3 linked regions of the Arabidopsis thaliana genome follow. The protein of the gene in region 1 interacts with the protein of each later gene in a pairwise test. Each region holds a gene or a part of one and is shown in the gene's direction. Other genes may lie near its edges.

Region 1 (6,242 bases):
CATAACCGGCGCAATTTGAACGAATTAATTCAAAATCGATATCATACCAAATCAAGTTCGGTTTAACTACTATACCAGATTAGGTTATAACCTTGTTAAAATAGGCGGCAATGGAAATTTATTGGCGCCATAAATTTTCTGAGAAGCAAAATTTTAACTCCATTACTTATCTCTGGTGTGTACTTTCTCGGCGAAGGAGTTACACGAGAACGTTGAAAATGGAGAATGATGGAAGATCCAATGAGAAAAATCTGTACGAGGTATCTCAACATTCTCTTTATCCGATGGTTCCAATTAGGGTTTCCGTTTCTGGATTTGGGACTTGTTCCAGTTATGCTTCGAAATTTAAGATTGTTTTGTCGATTTTCATGTGCTGATTCGTCTGATGATGTTTTTGTGATAATCTGAATATCATTGTTTATTGTTGGGATTGTAAGAGGCTAAGAGACTTTACTTGGTTAAGATCCATGGTTTGATCAATTTGTACCGTAGCTGTTGCAATTCTTAGTTGTTTTCTTGGTGGTTAGTAGAATTCAGTGAAACGAACTAATGAATGCGTCTTTGTTGAAGGTTCTTGGTGTTGAAGCAACAGCATCTCCACAAGAGATAAGGAAAGCGTATCATAAGTTAGCATTGAGGCTTCATCCTGATAAAAACAAGGATGATGAGGTTTAACTGAGGGGTTTTGGTTTCTTTACTTTTCTTAGTTTTTAGGGGTCTATTCAATTTTACATTGTAACCGGAATTCTTGTTTTTCTTATCCAATACAGGATGCTAAAGAGAAATTTCAGCAGTTGCAAAAGGTTATTTCGATTCTCGGTGATGAAGAGAAAAGAGCAGTCTATGATCAAACTGGCTCAGTTGATGATGCTGTAAGTTGAAAGAAAGTTTTCAACTTAAGTAAAGGTACTGGAGGATTTTCTTACAAACTGGTTATTTCCCTATCTCATTAGGATCTTTCGGGAGATGTGGTTGACAACTTGAGGGACTTCTTCAAGGCAATGTACAAGAAGGTAAGAATCATGATTCACAATTGATTTCTTTTTGGACTTTGCAACACAACTGTTTCGTTCTGTATACTGATCATTTGTGCTATAGGTCACCGAGGAAGATATTGAAGAGTTTGAGGCCAACTATAGGGGTTCTGAATCCGAGAAGAATGATTTGATTGAGCTATATAACAAGTTTAAGGGTAAAATGAGCAGGTAATTAATCATCCCCTTGTTTTCATTATTGTCAAGTTTGTGAGTTGAAGTTTGTATAAACATTATTGGTACTATATCTCTTTCAGGCTTTTCTGCTCAATGCTTTGCTCGAACCCCAAGCTTGATTCGCACCGTTTCAAAGATATTATCGATGAGGCCATTGCAGCGGGTAGGCTTCTCTTTCTTGCAATAATTCTTTTGTCTATAAAACCTATCCAGGTTCTGATTTGTTTGTGCATACCATTGTTTAACATCTGCAGGAGAAGTGAAATCAACAAAAGCTTACAAGAAATGGGCAAAGGAGATTGCAGAAATGGAACCTCCCACGAATCCCCAGAAGATGAGACGGAAGTAAGCTTCTATTTGTCTACCTTTTCCACCCCAATAAATGCCCTCTGAAGTTATCTTTGTTGTGACCTGTTTCAAAATTTCTATACTTTCAGAGCAGCAAAGGCTGCAGATAAAGATTTATACGCTGTAATGTCCCAGCGGGGAGATGAGAGGAAAGAGAAGTTCGATTCAATGTTCTCTTCACTTGTCTCTAGGTATGGTAGCAATGCTGACTCTGAGCCAAACGAAGAAGAGTTCGAAGCTGCTCAGAGAAAAGTTGAAAGCCGGAGATCATCGAAGAAGTCTAGAAAAAAATAAAGATTATGTAGTAGTTTGTGAAATTTAGGTTTCGTGTTTGTAATGGAGACCAATGTTTTTAGCGTAAATTAGATCACATTTGTTGCTTCTTAGAAGTTGAAGACTAATGTGTATTTGCTAGGAAACAATGTGTATTTTTACTTTTTGTCTTTTTTCCAACAACAAAAAAAGCAGTGAGTTTACCAGTTCAAAAGCTCAGGGTCCCACGTGTATGTCGTCTGGATCTTCAGAAGAAGAGAAATTCTATCACCGGGTCCTAGGACTTCTCCACCTGCAAAAACAATCAGGTCGAGTAATGCATCATAATCAGTTGATAACTAAACAAGCCTTTGTTACAATGTAACATATAAACGTACGGTATCAACCAAGTTTCTCGGGAAGAGGAGAGTGGACGGATCCTTTGGCTTGTATAGGCCTAAATAAAGAACTAACAAATTTCAAGTGAACTTATTTAAAAGAACCAAATAATTATTCTAAAAGAGAAGAAAAAAATGAAATTATTTACTTATATGGCTTGTATAGGCCTAAATGGCATACAGTTAATAAATTTTGTTAGTTCTTTATTAATTAACACCAAGCATCTTTTTTTTTTGTTGAAAAAGAAAAAGGAATTTAACAAAAAGGATATTCACAAAAAGAAACTAGAGAAGTAATAATAAAAAGGAAAGAAGAATCTAATGTCCAATAGAACCCCAAAGTAAAGTACACCAATTGTTGAGAGAAGAAGAGTTCTTTTTTTTTCAAAGGTATTTAAGGAGAAGAGTCGCAGTCGCAAAAAGACGAATCGTAATTGTTGAAGAGAGCAAATATGGCTTGGGATTTGTTTTTATGGATAGTCTCCTTCTTCGTTAGCTTGGCTCTCGTCGCTTCCGTCTTCTACCAGGTAATCTATCTACTTTGTTTGTCCCCTTTTACTTTCCATTAAGATTCTTAAATCGAGATCTGTCCTTACTGTTCAAATCCTGATTGTCGGAATTGTACTTGTGAAAAAACACCGAGCAACTTAGCTTTTTGTTCGAATTAGCTAAAAAATTAGGAATGGAACAATTTTCCTTTGTGTTCGTCGGTTTTGTACTAAATACAATTGACAATTTTTTGGGTCCAGAGAGGTTTCATTGTTTATCCTTAATCTTATGCTTCTAACTCAAAGTTGTTCTTAGTTCTGATTTGGATTGTCTGCAAGGCTTGTATATGATACTTGGTCAATTGAGACATATAGTTGATTAATTGCGAGTTATATACTGTGAATGAATGAAGTTAGATACTACTACCAATAGTGTTTACTCTCATACTAACTGCCTCTGCTAATGATTGAAGCATTGAGATTCCTTTTTAGTCTATTGATATCGTGTGTGATTTTGTAGGTTATCTGCTTAACGGATTTAGAAGCTGATTACTTGAACCCTTTTGAAACAAGTACCCGTATCAACCGATTAGTAATACCTGAGTTTATCCTCCAAGGGTCACTCTGCCTTCTCTTCCTCCTCACATGGCATTGGGTCTTCTTTCTGGTCGCCGTCCCTGTAACAGTCTATCACGCAATGTTGTAAGTATCTATATCCATCCATATTGCTTATGATTCTTGATTGACATGCGTGGAAACTAAATACGCGCCTCCCATTGTTCTTCAGATACAAAGAGCGACGTTATCTCATCGATGTCACTGAAGTGTTCCGTGGTATCAGCTTTGAAAAGAAGCTCCGGTATACCAAGCTCGGGTTCTACGTCTTTCTCTTCATCATGGTTGTCTTTAGGTAAAAAAAACTACAGCTTTAGCTTTCCTATTAACATCTTCACTTACTTTGGTTCTTCTACTATGAAGTTACTTACCGAGTCCATAAAACATTTTTGCAGGCTCACTCTCTCTGCGGTCTATAGCTTCACGGAAGATGATGATCTACTTCATTTGTTTTGATTTATGCGCTTGCGCTCTGCGTTATCAACCACTCTCTCTTTATTTTCTGAGTGTGTTTTAGAAAATTGTGACAGGTTTTTATTACGTCCCTGCTTAGAATTAGCCATTCAGGGATTCATCATGTAGCTTTATATAACGTATGATTACCGAAAACTCATCACAAATCGTTTGACATGGAGGGTTTCATCAGTTTTGTTTTGCGCAATATAATGTTCAGTCTCATCATTGAAGTCATAAAAATCATGTATCAAGAATGAAGCTACATTGTATTACATAGACTGGCTGTGGAAAAACGCACCGATATCTAGTTTATCGGAGATGCAATTGAACCCGCTGTGGACCTTAAATCCATGTCCATCCAAGAGGAGGAGGAGAAGGTGACCCAAACAGAAACTCTGCAAGAACAAAAACCAAGGCATGTTTCAACAAACCTTTTTATATGAGCCAATTTTTGCGATAGTGACCAAATAGCGACCCAAGAAGGATTACGGCCCAACCCAAGAGAGTTATCCAGCTTGATTACGTCCCAGACCCCCTATGACCCGATCCGGACCGGCTCAGACCATCTCACAAACCGATAATATTTACTACGGGCATTAAACCGGTTAAATAAGGAACTTTCCTTATTTAGATTTTTTAGGGCAAGAGTCTGGGACCACGAGAGACTCTAGTCAATCCAAGCGAAAAGATCATTCAAGATAGATAGACTACAATTTTCATACTTGGCCGTGGCCCGTGGGTGTCCTTAATTAACTCCCAACGACTATGCCACTTAATCCAGCAAATAGGCGCTTATTCACTTACCTTATCAAAACCATAATCCATCCTATGACTTCATTTCTTTTTTCCTCTTGATGCCTCACTTATGAGTTCTTAAAACAAAAATTTCTCTCATGCTTTTTCATTTTTAGTATGATTTTAATCTCCAGCTCAATAAATTTGAGGTTCCTGAGGTGAGAAAAATAAATGGGCCATTTTTCTCATGTTTTTTAGAAAGAAAATAAAAATTTTGACCCAAATTTTAATGTATTTCATTAGCACCTCCAACACATGTCTAGTCGTCTAGAGCAGAGTCTGATTTTAATGAAGGTAGTTTAGATACCTTCAATGGAAATACAGTTAAGGAAATCCATTAATAATTTTATTTCTGTTCTTAGGGATAAGAGACCTAGTTACTATAAAATAAGTTGAATTAAAAGCCATAATAAGGTAACTAATAAATGTTTGTAGAAAATAATTTGTAAAAAGGGTATAAAAAGGTTTATATGAAACTTGTATCCTCATTTACTCAGTAGCCAAAAAGGATCAAGCAGAGAGAGTTCGCACTCCCAAGGTTTCTTTCTGCATATTTCTCTTTTCTATCTTCTTCTCTGTAGATGATCAAATGTTCGATATCGTGTCTTAGTTTCCGCGATTACTGTGTTCATCCATTTCTTGGTCTTTTCTGAATTCAAAGGACCTATTATTTCGAGTTCATAGATCGCTTGCCACTTTGTGTACGTCATTGTGAGTGATTGTCTTGTTATCTCCTAGGGTTTCTTTGGTTCCTTGTGGCTCATTCTCTGTTTTTTTTTTGTAGTAGAAAGCTTGGCGTTGAAGAAAGTGTGTGCAAATGGAAGTGAAAAAGTTAAGAGTCGCCAAGTGGAAGAAAGAGCGTCTTCGTAGATCATTGATGAAGGCCGAGTCTAAAGCCTCTGATGTATTGTCCTTCACGCTATCATGGAGAGATCTAGAATCTCATTTTGATTCAATTGAATCAGATCTTGTGAAGAGGTCACAAGAAATAGAGTCGAAGGAGAAACATCTAGAGAAGAGGTCACATGAGTTAGAGTCAAAAGGAAAAATTCTGGAGAAAAGGGCTCGAGAGATTAATACAGCTGATGGATTTAGAAGAGACTTTGAAGAAAAGCAGAGGAAACTAGATAGGCTAAAGAGAGAGATCGAATCTGAGGAAAAGAAACGTTTTCTGGTTCAGAAATTGAACCGAGAACGTAAGTTTGAGCTAAAGCGGACAAGAGAGCAAGTGGAAGCGTTGCAGAAGAATGATATGAAACTGGATGTTAAACATTCCAAGGAGATGTCGGAGGAGCTACTGGTTCAACAGGAGAAGTACGAAGAGATCTTGAAGAAGAAGAAGTTGGAGGAGAAGAAACTTAAAGATTGTACCAGAGATCTTGCACTGAGAGAAGGAGACCTTCGATGGGTGAGTATGCGAATGACAAAGCGTTGTGAGGAACTGAGGTGGGAAAAGAAAAAGAATCTTGTGTTATGTAAACGTAACGAGGAAGCAGAAAGGAAGCTGAAACACTTGAACAGAGCACTAGAGGAGAAACAGAAAGAGGTCGATTTGATTGAGAAGAGACTCGGTGAATGGAGAGACGTGAAGGGAAGAGGAAACGGAGATACCAGTGGAGATGAATGAAGTTCAAAGAGAGCAACTATGTAATATAATAGGAGAAAACTAGCTCACATTC
Region 2 (8,594 bases), on another chromosome or scaffold:
GCTTAACGAAGTTACACATACATGAAGGATTTATGATGACATAAGATCTTAACCGATAAACAGACACTAATGGTGTTTACTTATATGCATCAAAGCTTACCATAATTGTTGGAGTTTGCGATGAGATCGTACTTGATGGCATAAATGTCGACATAGACAATGTTGGCCTCTTTCAGTTCCGTCCTCAGATCCCGACACATATGATCCAGTCCTTCGTTAAACAGTTTTGCAGCTGCGTTATAAGTTGCTAGACAACCATGCTTATCAAAACCTTTGCTATGAACCATTGAAAGTTTCTGAGGCAGACAACCTAATGGTCCTGTGTTGTGAACCCAAAATTTCCTCCCTCCTTCATCATACAATATCTGCAAAACAAATTTAACAAAAGATTTCAACTCTCTCCCAATATCAAGACTTATTGTTTAGCACACTCTAGCATGTTTTATTCAGAATAAACCCACAAACTCTAGTTCTTACCTTTATGGCACTTTTGATCTCGGAAATAACGTTTGGAATAAGCTTGACGACCCGGGAGTAAGAAAGGCCTTTGGAGAATGAATCCGCAATATCATTCTGTCCGATATCGATCATGTACAATGCGTTTCTGAATCCACTTTCGCCTATCATCATCTCTTTCAAAGGATCTGCAAAACATAATGCAAGGGTCCTTTAGTGAATTACCTATTTTTTTGCTAAAGAGTTAATTACGATCAGATAGATACCTGAAATAGAAGCAAGCTCGAGTGCTCGGGATTTGAAATGGAGGAACTGCATGAGCTGAATGTTGAGAGCAAAAGGAACATATCTGGGAAGAGTGGAAGATCCAACAATTGCGAAATTGGCACCGTTTTGGAACTTTGATCCAACCAATGAGTCTAAGTATGGGTTCAATAGACTTGTATTCAAACTCTGGCCTGCCAATATGTCAGAAAAGAATGGAATATTAGATTCATATTTACTTTTGAAGTTAGATATAGAAGTTGCATTTCAACTTTACCAACCACCAAAATTTAACTTGAATCTGCATATCGTTAGTAACAAAATATTTTCATGCATTATAGTATATAAATGACTAAAATATGAAACCTTATAACATGTGATTTGGACAAAACAGAACGCATACTTAACATTGATACCAAAAAAAAAAAAAAAAAACAGAACGCATCTTTTACTATACGGCGTTGTTTGACTCTTTAGTCACGCAATCTAATGTAACGAGTGGGTTCACGCGCCGAATCTACATGGTGGCACCCACTTTTGATTGTGATATCTTCCCATGTTGGTAAGTGGGACCCACTTTTCTTTGGATTAGATTTTCATCATTTCAACGAGTGAATTGTGTCGTTTTGTGGCATCACGCAACGCGATCACCGTCATCAATTATTAGCCGTTGATTAAGGTTTACATCTATTCCATCGGACGGTTGTCACGACTTCATTGCACTTACCTCTAATCTCCACCGTCTAAATAATTAACTAGAGTTAAAAAAAGTCAAGAGAAAGTTGACTTACAAAGGAAATCGATGACGAGGCGTCCGTCGGATAATCGGCCGGTGGATCTCTGGAAAAACGAACGACCGTTAGGAAGACCAATGCTGTATCCGAGTCCGGCGACGAGTCCACCCGTGTCGGAGTTGGAATCGCCAAAGTTAAAAATCACCGGCGGAACCTGACATCCTCCGGCCACTGCCAAGTTTTGTCGGAGAATGAGGATAAACGGAAGGAGAACAAGAAGGAAAGAGTGGGAGTGAAGAGAGAGAGTAGCCATTGTAACTTGCTAGTAGAGATTTGATCAAGATAGAGTGAAGATCGAAAGCTTTGTAATAAATTGTAATAATGGTAAGCCTTAAGTGTGTGGGCCTTATTTCTCTTATTTTAAGCTATAGTGTGTGAGTGTGATTCTTTAGTGAATTTAAAAACAAAGCCTAAGACTTTGTATGTTGGTGGTTGACAGTGACAGACACATAACTCAAGCTTACTGTTGGCTCCAGCTCCAATGTAGATGCTAATTGTTCATACATAAATATGCATATGCATCCTAAAGTATATATCCAAAACGAATGTACAATGGAATTTTCCTTTTGTACGTAACAACGAAAAGATAAGATCGAAAAAATATGCGGCGAAAATTTACGTTGGAACTTGGAAGCCAAAGAGGACGCGGAAATTAATCATCTGGACGCCAACGCTAGCTTGTTTGACTTATGCAAATGGAGCATTACTCATAATTTATTCATCTTCAACTCCAAAAGCATTTCGTATAAAAATTAACCACTGATATCCAGCAAAATGTTAAGCATCACTTACTTTCTCAAATTTCAGCCAACAAAAAAGTTTAACGTGTTTGGTATACCTATGTGCTGACTACAGACCAATGTTTTATCTCTATCCATATGAAATGACATTCTTGCTCAAGGAAGTCACTGTACACCTAAGGAAAGGCCTTTTAAGAATAAATGAGGCCTTTTAAGACCAATAATTGGCCCAACAATATATGTTGTTTTGTATATGAGATTTTCTTATATTATACAAGTTTTCATTATGCATTTTACTTTAGTTTACTAAAGTTTTATATATAAATCATTATGTTTCAGTATAGTTTTTAATTAAAAATTAATTAGTTTTCTGAAAATTATACTAGCCACTCTAGTTATATCCTACTTTTTAATGATATAAATTCCAGTTATTTTCAAAGATATTCTTAAATTACGTATGTCCAACCCATTGTGTAAATGATTACCTAGTTCATACATTAAAAATATATAGTATATATACAGTATGCAGTCGAACTGAAACATGTAATAATATAATCATGAATTTAATTATATATTAAATTTTAGAAATAATTAGATGCATACATTTTGCGGATACTTACCTAGTTATATTTATATTGCATAAGATGCATGCCATTCAATATATATTCGATAATCCATGCCCAACTTCCAACCCTTTTGGGATATAAATAGTTAATTTACCATTTATGATATATATTACACACACAAAAGTTTGACAAAAAGCAAGAGTGATATAATGAAAATCAATTCAAAATACGTAAGATAATACTAATTCGATATTGTTAATCAAGCGATAAACCAAGCCCTTGGTTTAATATCACAGAAACGAGTTTTAGCAAAGGCAAATTGATTGCTTGAAGCTTGAGAAAGACATTCACAAGCTCCACCAAACCCATGAAAAAACGGAAACCAAAAAAATGGATTAAAACGAGGAAAATAAGTTAGATTTTTTTTTGACAAAACGCCAATTTGGATTGTATTAGTAATCAGCAAGGAGAAAATTTAAATAAATTGCCAAAAATATCAAATGATTCATATCACCTATTGTTTCGTGTTCTTATGCCCTAAAGAGAGTCCAAGTGTTACAAGCAAACTTCATTCTCGAACCGTTTCTCACCTTTCTGTTTAAAACATCTCTCTCTATATATATGTATGTATATAAATAAATATATGTATGTGCATGTATATATAAATGTGTGTATATATACATCTTTGGCTATAAATATAAGGTCGAACCAAAATAAAATATAGATTTGGGGAAACTAATAAATGATATAGAGAATCCACCTCTCTCCCTTATTTTTTTTTCTTGGTTTCTTGACCTATTATTATTGATTAGTAATAGTGAGAGAGGCATATTTTGGAGATACACATAAACACATAAATTGGAAGAATAAAATAAAAGAGAGTGAGAGATGGCTAAATCAGATATGTTGCCGTTCTTGGCGATGGTGTTGGTGCAAATCGGCTACGCAGGCATGAACATTACGTCGAAGATGGCTATGGAGGCCGGTATGAAGCCACTCATCCTGGTCGCTTATCGTCAGATATTTGCCACTATCGCCACTTTTCCGGTCGCATTTTTTCTCGAACGGTAAAAAAAAAACCATACTAATATCTGCCCATATACATCTTATTTGATCAACTAACGATTTTAGACATGTATGAATTACACGATTAAAACAATTGCATCGATGAAATGTTGAATTTGTTTTAATTCTTGAATAAAGCATATGGGTGTTTTTATTACTTTTTTGGGGTTAAAAGTAATTAGGTTTTAGGTGGTGAGTCTATGTTTTACAAAGATCAGCAAGAAATGCTAAACTTTGATTAGCTAAATTTTTCTTTTAGCATTGTTTTTTTGTGTTTTCAAGTTTGTCTTAACTGCGAAAGTAGAAAATGATGAAATCATATTCATCAACATAAACGTCAAAATGGTGAGTGCGTATATTAAAATATTAACGACGAAAAACCATTTACTAAATGGCTTTGTGAGTCTCATGTAGAACGTTTTTACGTCTTTGAACTTTCTTGCGTCACCTAAATTTATTACTTTCCAAAAGTTTCAAAAATCAAGCTTTTTAATTTATTGACATAGAAGTACTGCATGCTTAAAGTCTTTTTTTTTTGTGGTCAAGATTTTTTTTGATATATGTTAATAACTTAATTCATCAGTACTATACGTTGAATAGATTTAAATTCATTAATTTACTTCTTATTATTTTACAATTTTGGCAACAAATGAACCTCCATTTAGAAGACTAAAAATTAAAAACACTAAACTAATAATTAAGAAAAAAAGTTTAGCACGACATCGTCTTATTTTCCGGAGATTACGATAGAATACGCATATAATGGTATATGGTAAGCTATAAGTTTCTTGATGAATAATATTAATTCAGAATGTGAAGAAAAATGTGGTAAAGAAAAAAAAGACAAAAAAGTGGTAAAGTGACGCTGATTAATTAGTTGAAATGTAGTAGACACTAGCTTTTTTCTTTTGTTTATTGGGATTAGTATTTACCGTTATTTTTTCATAATCATGGTACCGTCAATGATTTTGGTGGTATGTGGAAACCTAAGTAGTTACATTATCATTAATTCCGTTTTCCGAGAGAGAAACAAATGAGAAATGTGACGCAGTCTCACACAATCCACGCGTCACGTTTCTTTCTTAAACCGAAGCACATGATGACAAACAAATCATGATGCCAGGTGAGTTAAGCGTCGTCAGGTGCCGTGCCATCTTCATTTGCCAAGACACGTGCTTCTTCAATTACGTTTTTTACTCTGTTTCTCCACTCTAATCTCTTCATATGATATGAGAAGTGAATTTGATTGTTTTCTTGAGTCTCGGTTTAACTTAACCGGGTGGTTTTAGGATTAGTTGCATGATTACATTCAATGAGAAATGCTTTAATTGATTAATAATGATTAGTGGACTAATGAAAACATAAATTTTTCATACACGGTTTCTTGTGCAGGAAGACAAGACCGAAGATCACACTTAGGATTCTTGTCCAAGTCTTCTTCTGCTCCATTACTGGGTATCTTACATACACTTTACCTACTAATTGCAATCTTACTTTGTTATAAAGCGATTTACATTGATTTTCTTTGCAGTGCGACTGGAAACCAAGTGCTATATTTCGTAGGACTTCAGAATTCATCTCCGACCATTGCTTGTGCCTTAACTAATCTCTTACCAGCGGTCACTTTCCTCCTCGCCGCAATATTCAGGTTATATGAAATTAATCTTAATTAAGTTTCCTTCAGACAATACTCGTTTATGATTATTGCTTAACACAAGACTTTTTTCTTTTCAGACAAGAAACCGTGGGGATCAAGAAGGCATCAGGACAAGCCAAAGTGATAGGGACGCTAGTATGTGTGATCGGAGCCATGGTTCTCTCCTTCTACCATGGTCACACCATCGGCATTGGAGAATCCAAGATCCATTGGGCCTACGCTGAAAACATCACGAAACATGGTTCCAGTTCTGGCCATTCTAATTTCTTCTTGGGACCTTTTCTTATTATGGCTGCTGCCGTTTCTTGGGCCGCTTGGTTCATTATCCAGGTAACTTAATTACTTAATTAAAAAAAAATGTAGCTTCAAACAATTTGAACCCACATAATGGAAAATGAAACTAAATTCTCATTTGGTTATGATAAATATTATTTTGGTTACAGACGAAGATGAGTGAAACATTTGCAGCACCGTACACGAGCACACTACTAATGTGTTTGATGGGAAGTATCCAATGTGGAGCCATTGCTTTGATCTCCGATCATACAATCTCTGATTGGTCTCTCAGCTCTCCTCTCCGCTTCATATCCGCCCTTTATGCCGTAAGTCCACATACATATACTATGATCATTAGATAACAATCTTAAGCTAAAAATATATGACACTAGTATAAAACACGGATCATGCAGGGAGTGGTGGCGTCTGCGTTAGCTTTCTGCCTAATGTCATGGGCTATGCAGAGGAAAGGTCCTCTGTACGTCTCTGTTTTCAGCCCTTTACTTCTCGTAGTTGTCGCCATTTTCAGCTGGGCTCTTCTTGAAGAGAAACTCTACACCGGCACGTATGTTTCTATACATCTTTATCTATCTCTCTGTGTGTTTAAACATTATATAAACGAGATGATGATGATGAATTTATATGATATATGTATATTAGGTTTATGGGATCAGCACTTGTGGTTATTGGTCTCTATGGCGTATTGTGGGGGAAAGACAGAGAGGTGAGTGAGAAGGAAGAAGAAAGGGAGAAGGTGAAACAACAAAACCATAAAGTCAAGAGTGAAAGTAATGAAGATATTGAATCGAGATTACCGGTAGCAAGTAGTGGAAATGGTTCCACAAGGTCTACATCGCCTTAAAATGGTGATTGCTTCTTCATCATATATAAGTATGAGCTATGGAAGAACCTTTTGGGATTTCTTGTTATCTAAGTTACTGCAACTAAATTGGATTTTCGGAGTGTTTAATTTTGTATCCCATTTTGAGGCTAATGATGGAGTGTTGATTTGTGTGTTCATCCTATGGACAACAAATATCACCTGTTTGATCTCTATATATATTCAGTATTCTTAATCTTCATCGTTTCCATTATCTTATTTTCTTTCTAATAACCTATTTCCTTTATCCCCAAAACAAATCAAATCATAGTCTTCAAGTAATTTATTTTATGTTTTGTCAGAGGGTGAAAGTTATTACAGACCTTCAATATTCATTTAGACCCAAAATGTAAAATAGTGCCTTGAAACAGAGGGTTTCGGTTCGTGCAAGTCAATTACAATTGGCTGTAACGGTTTAATCCTGGTTTAGTAACTCAAGTGTTATATACGAATCAAAACAGAGTCGCTGTTCTGTTTTGTTAATCTTCTTCGTCATTCTTGATTACGAGTTGCAAGGTTTATCTCGGTTCATGTACCTGTAATCGATAGATATAGTAGATTTGATACAGAACATGGAGAATCACATGCGATTTAGTTAGACTTAATTGTCAAAGACAAACACTATGGACATTTATTAGTATTATTGACCACCTGATTTTGCCATAAGGTCATAATTCATAGAAGCAAAAACAGAATTAGATCTTACAGAAAAAGATATATTATATTATATCCCAAGTGTTTATTTTTATCCTTATCAAGTTCAGTTCAATTCAACCTCAGCATCAGCATCGCCATTAAAAACATATATGCATATAGAGAATTGCAATTAAGAAGATTCTGTAACCATTATTAATTAGAATATTTCTGGAAACATTTGCTACTATGTCATGATTCAACAACAATCAGATTATGAAGAAACCATATGACTAACAATCTGTTCCATGGATAGTAAGATCTTCGTCTGTCTGTTTTTCTCAATCAACGGATTGATCTGATAACCGAGCACATTGAAATCTGTCTTACAGATATCAACAGCCATAGAAACTTTCTTTTCGATATTGACAATCTTACTGTAGTAAGCTTGCTTGAAGAAGGTTACAGCTTTCGTGAACGCCGAGTTCACAATGGCGTAAGCTTCGGCGCACGCTTGAAGATCAGGCCTCTCGTCTCCAGCATTCCTGAGAAGCGTGCTGATGAAGAAATAAGTGTTGGCCGCGAACCTTTCAGCTTCGCTTACTGTCACGTTCATGATTTCTTTGTTACTTGCGGGAAAAGTATTCAGGTTCTTGATCAAGAGACTACTGCAAAATCTGGTATCCATTGTCTGCTTGCAGATTCCGTTGACCCTTTGTTGAGTTTTTTCATCGAGAAAAGCTTCTGCAACGGAGGAAGCGAGTATAATTGCCAAAACTATCGAGAGAATGTGATGCATTTTCATCTTTCTTCTTTTTTTTTTTTTTTTGTAAATTGAGTATGTGGTCATTTGAGAAAGAAATTTGTTATTTTATATATGAAATTAGGCATTTGAATGAATCAGTCAAGAGTCAAAAAAAGTCTTTGTAAGTTACCAAAATTGCGTGTGAGAATTAGTGTATTTCAAGGAAAAGAAAACAATTCCCAAACTACAATATTTTGTTTATTTATCTGAACTAACATTCAATGTTTATAAATTATTTGAGTTGACCAAATCTTCAATACATTAAAAAGTCAGTATTGATGCATATGTGTCAAGGCCACAATTACACTCAACTTTTATTTTTTTATTTAATTCTACTATTATTTTTGTCAAACACTTTAAAATTAATAATTTTTGTTTAAAAATAAATTAATAACTTATATTTATTTTACTGTTAGAGTTTTCAACCAAAACAAATTGTCTTTGGAAAAAAGTAGCAT
Region 3 (7,001 bases), on another chromosome or scaffold:
AAATTAAACAAAATTTTATCAAAATCTAACCAATTTTTTCATTATTTCGGTACCCGAATCGAAGTAGCCAAAACCAAACGTGGCACGCCTATGCCACCAGGCCTAAACTATAAAACCCAAAAAACTAGAATCGAACCTGAACTAGTACCCGAACGCCTGAACTAGTACTCGAACGCCTAGGCCTAACAATGTATACGTAAAAATATAAAACTTTATCACATTTCCCGATTTTCATTAATTGTATAATAATTCATTATATAGGGGTGTAACACTTTAGCTAGAGATATTCCAAAAATAAGTCACTCGGGATTAGAAGTGGGCGTTTGGATACCCATTCGTTAGGGTATTTCTAAATTTTGGGTTTGGATCGGGGTCAAGTCCGATATTTTGGGTTCGGAAACTGGTTACCCGAAGTTCTCAAAAATCAAAATTTTAAAACCAAATATATCCAAACTACTCGAAAATACAGAAAATAACTAAAAACCTTGAACACTTTTGTATTCAAATTTACTCAAAAGTAGATTAAATACCTAAAATTATTTTAAGTATCTGAAAATCTAAATATTTTGACGCTTAGATTATTGCAAATATAAATATTAATACGATCAAATGATTCTTCAACTTTTTTTGTTAATCTCCTCATTACTTTTAACAACAAGTCAAGAAATTGCTCGATTTGTTTTGCAATTTCTTGACTTGTCATCACATGTCTCCACAGTTCTCACATGTCATCACACTACTTAGTGTACCACAAAAAATCTGGTAAACCATACTATCATAAGAGGAACCAGGAGAATGGAGACATTTGTCCATGCATCTAGCAAATTAACCAGATACTCATGTTCATCTTCATGTGCCTCATATTCGTGTATTTTTAATACGCGTAGTTAAGCAATATATGATAAGCTAGAATTATAGTTTATTTTACTATATTAATTTTGACTCCACACAATGCGTGGAATACCCCCTAGTAAACTATAAAAAAAAATATGAATAGAAAGACGTAAATCTTTTTGACCTTGAATAAATAAGAAGCTTAACTTAACAAGCATCCAAAATGTATTTTTGTAATCCGTTTAATTTTATCAGAAATATTAAATTTTAAAATTTTATGATTGTGTATCATATTTAAACTAGATTTTAATCCGCGGTATATCGCGGGACGATTTATTTTTTAAAAGTAAGATATATTGAAACTTGCAAATTTTATTCTTATAAAATATTTATATTTTACAGTTTATAATTGTTACCACAATTTTTAGCTTAAAGTTTTATATTTTATAGTTTAATTTTATATATACTAACATTATACATACCACATAACATTTTTGGTTTTATATAATCTTTTCTAAATTAGGATGATTTGATATGTTTAATATTAATGGTCTTAAAAAATAATAAATTAAAGATTTAACCCGTATTGAAACGGTGATTTAATTATATTTTACTTTTTTTATTAATGTTGATTCAAAAACCCGTCCCTCCAAATCCATCTTGCCAAAAAGCCATTTATTTTATTAATATTAATTTTATTTATGATATGACTCTAAATTATAATCTAAACATTTTAGCTAATAACATAGAAGTGCACCATATTTATTTAATAGGGGAATGTACCATATGACCCGAATGCACTTTTACCCAAATCCACCAAAAAAGTCTTGCAAAAATACTATAGAGATAAGAAACGATAGTCGGTTTTGATAGGTATAAGATTAGCAAATATATTAGTTAGCTTAAATTAGTTAAAGAATACAAATTAAAAAGATATATTACACTTTATTCGAATATAGTATAAAAACTTATATAACACAGAGATTTGATAATTTTTTAATTGTTGAATACTTTTTTGTGCTAATTTTTATGTGATTAAGATTTAGTTGATTTCGTATATAAAATATTAAATTGTTTTACGAACTTATTTGTTTATAATTTGGTAACAGATAGATATTTGAATATTCAGTATATTTTGCTTAAGTTTAGGAAATCTTTGATGACCCGTCTTTAAATCAAATAAGCCCTATAATTAAGAGATGAACTAGGATTTAACCCGCGGTTTACCGCGGGCAATCGGTTTATTTGGTTCTTATACTAAATATTTGAATAAATTTGATATCCTAAACTTATAAATATAAATTTTTTAATCAGACATAACTAAATAATAATTGAGATTTTTTTTTGGTTGTTATTTAGTGATAAGAAGAATGTGTTAAAATGTGTTTAATTTTTCTTTTGTTATTTACTTATTTTTGTTGAACGGATTAGATTGAAGTGAATTAAAATTATTGAACGGTTTAGATTGAATCGGATCATATCAAGTTTAGGAGATTGTTAAGACCAAATTACCCTTAATGATTTTGAATAGCAAAGAACAAAATCCAAAATTGAAATCAAAATTGAGGCCAAATTAGACAAAATTTCAATTTGTACTTCCCTTTTAATAATAAGAGGATATTGTCGTTAAAAGATTTTGGTAATTAATGACGTCATTAAAGGATTTTGTTTTTGATTAAATTTTTCTAATGGCATTGTCATGTAATTAACTACAAAAATTAAGGTTAAATTTAAAATGTACTTCCCAAATAATATAGTAGGATACTTGTAATTTGTATCATTTATATGATATTTATATTTATATTTATATTTTATAATTGTCATTAAGTAACGATATACCACATAAGAAGTTTGTTTTGTACAATCTTATATTAATTAGACAGATGTTATATGTCTAACACTAGTGATATTAATAAATAATAAAATAAGAATTTCATCTGTATTAAAGTAGTAGGTTAATGATGTTTTATTTACTTATTAATATTGTTTCAAATCCGTTCCGCCATATAACTCCGTCTCGGAATATAACTCATCGCATATTATTTTAATTTTCCTAATATTATAAACTTTTATTGATTTTAAATACATCAATCATAATATTAATAATAATTTAAATGAAAAATTATAGAAAATAAATCGTGATTGTCAAGTTTTCACTTTTGATAATTTTTTCTTGTAATTAGTCAATTAGTGTTATATTGTGGAGAGTTGAATAGTCTCATTTTGCAATTTTAGAAGATCAAGGGTATATTTCCAAAACATTGCAGTTTTGAGGATTCAACTTGCAATTTACCCTTTTCAAAAATCACTTTCGACAATTACCAAAAACCAGTTCCCCCATTTCATTTCACGCTTTCTTCTCTTCTCATCTCAGAGCTCCGTGATGAAGAAATGGTTAGCAATCGCAGCGACGGTGGCGATAATTGCAATAATCGTTAGACAAGGCACGACACAATACGGATGGAACAAAGAGGCGGCGTTGGAAAAGCTAAAGGAATGGTCAGATCGGCTGGGGATTTGGGCGATTCCAACGTATGTAGCGGTTCACACAATAACCTTAGCTCTTTGTCTCCCTCACGCCGTCTTCTTTGAAGCTGGTGCTTCTATGCTCTTTGGTTTCCTTCCTGCTCTTCTCTGTGTTTTCTCTGCTAAAGTTCTCGCCGCTTCTTTCTCCTTCTGGATCGGCAGGTCTGCTTCTCAATTGCACTGTTATGTGATTCAAATTGATCTGTTGGATCGTTAGTTTGTGTCGCTAATGTACGAATTTGATCGAAATGATTTGGATTTAGAACAATGATTCTCACATGGCTTATCTTGGCTTCGTAGAAAGTATATGATTCATTAGTAATACACTCTGGTTTAGTTTATGTTATCGTGTTTTGTGAATGCTTAAGGTTTTACTTGGAGATGGTTTAGATTTTTCTTTAGTGCACCATTGTTGAAACCTTTTGCAGAACGTTTATTGAAATCCATTAAATTGTAAGCATGAATGATAGGAAGGGAATGTTTGTGTGAAGAAATGGTGTCATTGTTGGTTATTCAGCGGTAAGATAACACCGTTGTTCACCAAAAAGGCGGAGAAGATGCATGATATTTTCTTGCGAGATTTAGATGGATGTCTTCAGATTCTATAATGGTGTTTGGATAAGAGTGGTTGTTGTCTTGTGTATGTGACGGAGATGTAAAGAACCGTTAGATGCTTGTCATTTGCTTGTTAATATATGCTAGGGAATGATTTGCAATATTCACATTTATGCTGGATTTTTACATGGCTTCATAGAAACTATATGCTTCATTAGTAACACTCTGATTTAGTTTAAGTTATCGATTTCTGAGATTTTACTTGGAGATGTAGAATAAACTCTTTTGTTGGTTTTGATTGTCCTGCTATCGCTGAAACCTCCGTATACAGAAGTTTTCACGAAAATCCATTCTACTCTAAGCATTATAGGAAGTGGATCTTTGTGTAAAGAAATGATGTCATTTTGGCTGTTCAGAGGAAAACTAACACCGTTATTCGCCAAAAAGGCGGAGAAGATGCATGTCTTCCTATTCTATAATGGTGTGTGGATGAGATTGGTTGTTTTCTTGTGTATGTGATGGATATGTATGGACTAATTGTTAAATGCATGCTGTGATTCTAATTGCCAATTAATATATGTAGGAGAATGCAACTAGGATGTTGATTAACCTTAGCAATGTGATATGCAGTTTTATTTATTTATCTATCTATTGGGAGCACTTGCATTCTCTCATACTTTTTTGAATTTTCAGGTTTGTTTTTAAGAGTTCCACCAGAGCTACAGGGTGGGCGCATAGCAACAAGTACTTCAATATTCTCTCAAGAGGAGTTGAGCGCGATGGTTGGAAGTTTGTTCTTCTTGCAAGGTTCTCGCCCATTCCTTCCTATGTCATAAACTACGCTTTGGCAGCTACTGAAGTCCGGTTTGTAGCTGATTTTCTGTTCCCCACGGTTATTGGCTGCCTCCCGATGATCCTGCAGAACGCATCAGTCGGTAGCCTCGCTGGTATGGCTGTGGCTTCAGTAGCTGGAAAACAGAAAAGTCAGGTCTGGGGTTATGTTTTCCCAGTACTTGGGATACTGTCAAGTGTTCTGATTTCATTGAGGATCAAAAAGTACTCAGCTGGAATTACAGAGGCATCATCAGATACCTCTGCTAACAACTCTAGTTTAGCTTCATCTGAAACTGCGAATCCCGCTTATGGAACCGATGGATCCAAGAAAAGTGAGTGATTATACAAACCATGATGGTGGTTTTTGATCGCCGGTATTACACTTTGTTTGGTTTGCAGCTATCAGATTCTCAACATCATGGCTTATTTTGGACGAGTTAGGCAGTATCTTAATAGTAACAAAGCATTAGTTTTTGTACTTCTTAAGTTAAAAGCTTAGAACAAAACAACAGTGTTATTTTCTATACCAGACACAAAAACTGTGTCGTTGTAATAACACTTACCATAACATTTTCTTTCAGTGTATGTTTAAAGCCGTTTATATGGTTGAAGCAATGTGACTAAAATTTTTGTAGCATTGAAACAAGCTATATTTGCATTGCTATGGTCTTGTTTTGTGACTAAAAGACTTGGATGCAGAATGGATATAAGTTAAATGTCTGATTTTGTAAATAACTTATGAAGAGAAAATCTTTATTCGGTAAGAGTTGTTTTCTCAATGTAGCAGTTCACTCATCATTTTCAAACTTCAACTCTCAGAGAACACAAAGAGGTTAGACAGTGCAGATGCTTATGGTTGAGAAGCTTTACCTAACAATGGTACAAGGCGGTTTTGTTGGGATCACATGTGAAGTTAGGCACATGGATTCGTTCTTGGAGTTGGTACAAGGACTTCTAAAAGACAACAATGAGGTATAATAAGGACAAGTTGACTATGTCTCTCTCTTTTATCTTAACATTCTAAATTAGGATTTGGTAAACTGAGAGCAGTTAGCTTCTTGAATCTCTAAAGTATAAAAACCCTCACCGTTTTACTACTATCTCATCTTAAAACTCCCAAGTAACAAAAATGGCTATCTCAAAGCTTATTCCTACTCTTGTGCTCTTTGTTTTGTTCTCTTTTGATGTTAGTGTTGCTCATCCAGGTCTAGGATTTGGATGGGGAAGTAATAGTCCCATTGGAGGATCTTTTTACTCAAATCTTTACCCACAATTTTACCAGTTCTCTTGTCCACAAGCTGATGAGATTGTTATGACGGTGCTCGAAAAAGCCATAGCTAAAGAACCAAGAATGGCAGCATCTTTACTCAGACTTCACTTCCACGACTGCTTCGTTCAGGTAAAAGTATCTTTACCTATTTTTGTTTTCCCTTTATGTGTCTCTTAAGCTTAACACTTATACACTACACTCTGTGTGTAAACAGGGCTGTGATGCATCAATCTTGTTGGATGATAGTGCAACCATAAGAAGTGAAAAGAATGCTGGACCAAACAAGAACTCCGTTAGAGGGTTTCAAGTAATCGACGAGATCAAAGCCAAACTTGAGCAAGCTTGTCCTCAAACTGTCTCCTGCGCCGACATTCTAGCTCTAGCTGCTCGTGGCTCAACTATACTGGTAAAATTAAGAGACCTTCAAGAGAAACTATTGGCTCAGTTACAAGTTATATAGCTTATATTTATCGAATTTGTGGTTCAATGCAGAGTGGTGGACCATCATGGGAGCTTCCACTAGGGAGGAGAGACTCGAGGACCGCTAGCCTTAATGGCGCAAACACGAACATTCCTGCACCTAACTCAACTATTCAAAATCTCTTAACCATGTTCCAACGTAAAGGTTTGAACGAAGAAGACCTTGTTTCCCTATCAGGTGAGATTAACATGTATTTATCTTTTGTTTAAGGAGTTGGCAAGGAAACCAAACCGAGACCGGTTTCTTAAAACCGAATGATAACAACGTTTTTAACCAAACCAAAATGTTGCAGGAGGACATACGATTGGAGTAGCGAGGTGCACAACGTTTAAACAAAGACTATACAATCAAAACGGTAATAACCAACCAGACGAGACGCTAGAGAGGTCTTACTACTATGGTCTCAGGTCAATTTGTCCACCAACAGGCGGTGACAACAATATTTCACCTCTAGACTTAGCCTCTCCTGCAAGATTCGACAACACATACTTCAAGCTCCTT

What was found. Proteins that work in one complex are often made in the same cells at the same time.
Region 2: the proteins of AT3G12180 (region 1) and UMAMIT25 interact in a protein complementation assay, tested with the Arabidopsis thaliana proteins (one large-scale study listed by BioGRID).
Region 3: the proteins of AT3G12180 (region 1) and AT1G44960 interact in a protein complementation assay, tested with the Arabidopsis thaliana proteins (one large-scale study listed by BioGRID).

The regions. Positions count from the first base shown.
Region 1 is NC_003074.8:3,880,803-3,887,044, forward strand, and holds AT3G12180 (Cornichon family protein), read left to right. Parts: upstream 1-2,527; 5' UTR 2,528-2,661; coding exon 2,662-2,736; intron 2,737-3,217; coding exon 3,218-3,399; intron 3,400-3,484; coding exon 3,485-3,607; intron 3,608-3,707; coding exon 3,708-3,768; 3' UTR 3,769-4,062; downstream 4,063-6,242. Other genes in the region: AT3G12170 (Chaperone DnaJ-domain superfamily protein), read left to right, coding at 111-260, 571-669, 771-872, 954-1,013, 1,099-1,205, 1,292-1,374, 1,466-1,556, 1,649-1,853; AT3G12190 (golgin family A protein), read left to right, coding at 5,381-6,190.
Region 2 is NC_003070.9:3,024,437-3,033,030, reverse strand, and holds UMAMIT25 (nodulin MtN21 /EamA-like transporter family protein), read left to right. Parts: upstream 1-3,481; 5' UTR 3,482-3,708; coding exon 3,709-3,887; intron 3,888-5,277; coding exon 5,278-5,340; intron 5,341-5,416; coding exon 5,417-5,533; intron 5,534-5,619; coding exon 5,620-5,872; intron 5,873-5,985; coding exon 5,986-6,144; intron 6,145-6,231; coding exon 6,232-6,383; intron 6,384-6,478; coding exon 6,479-6,680; 3' UTR 6,681-6,969; downstream 6,970-8,594. Other genes in the region: AT1G09390 (GDSL-like Lipase/Acylhydrolase superfamily protein), read right to left, coding at 101-365, 478-644, 723-914, 1,512-1,767; AT1G09370 (Plant invertase/pectin methylesterase inhibitor superfamily protein), read right to left, coding at 7,606-8,136.
Region 3 is NC_003070.9:16,996,359-17,003,359, forward strand, and holds AT1G44960 (SNARE associated Golgi protein family), read left to right. Parts: upstream 1-3,087; 5' UTR 3,088-3,217; coding exon 3,218-3,522; intron 3,523-4,608; coding exon 4,609-5,089; 3' UTR 5,090-5,376; downstream 5,377-7,001. Other genes in the region: AT1G44970 (Peroxidase superfamily protein), read left to right, coding at 5,879-6,148, 6,234-6,425, 6,512-6,677, 6,793-7,001.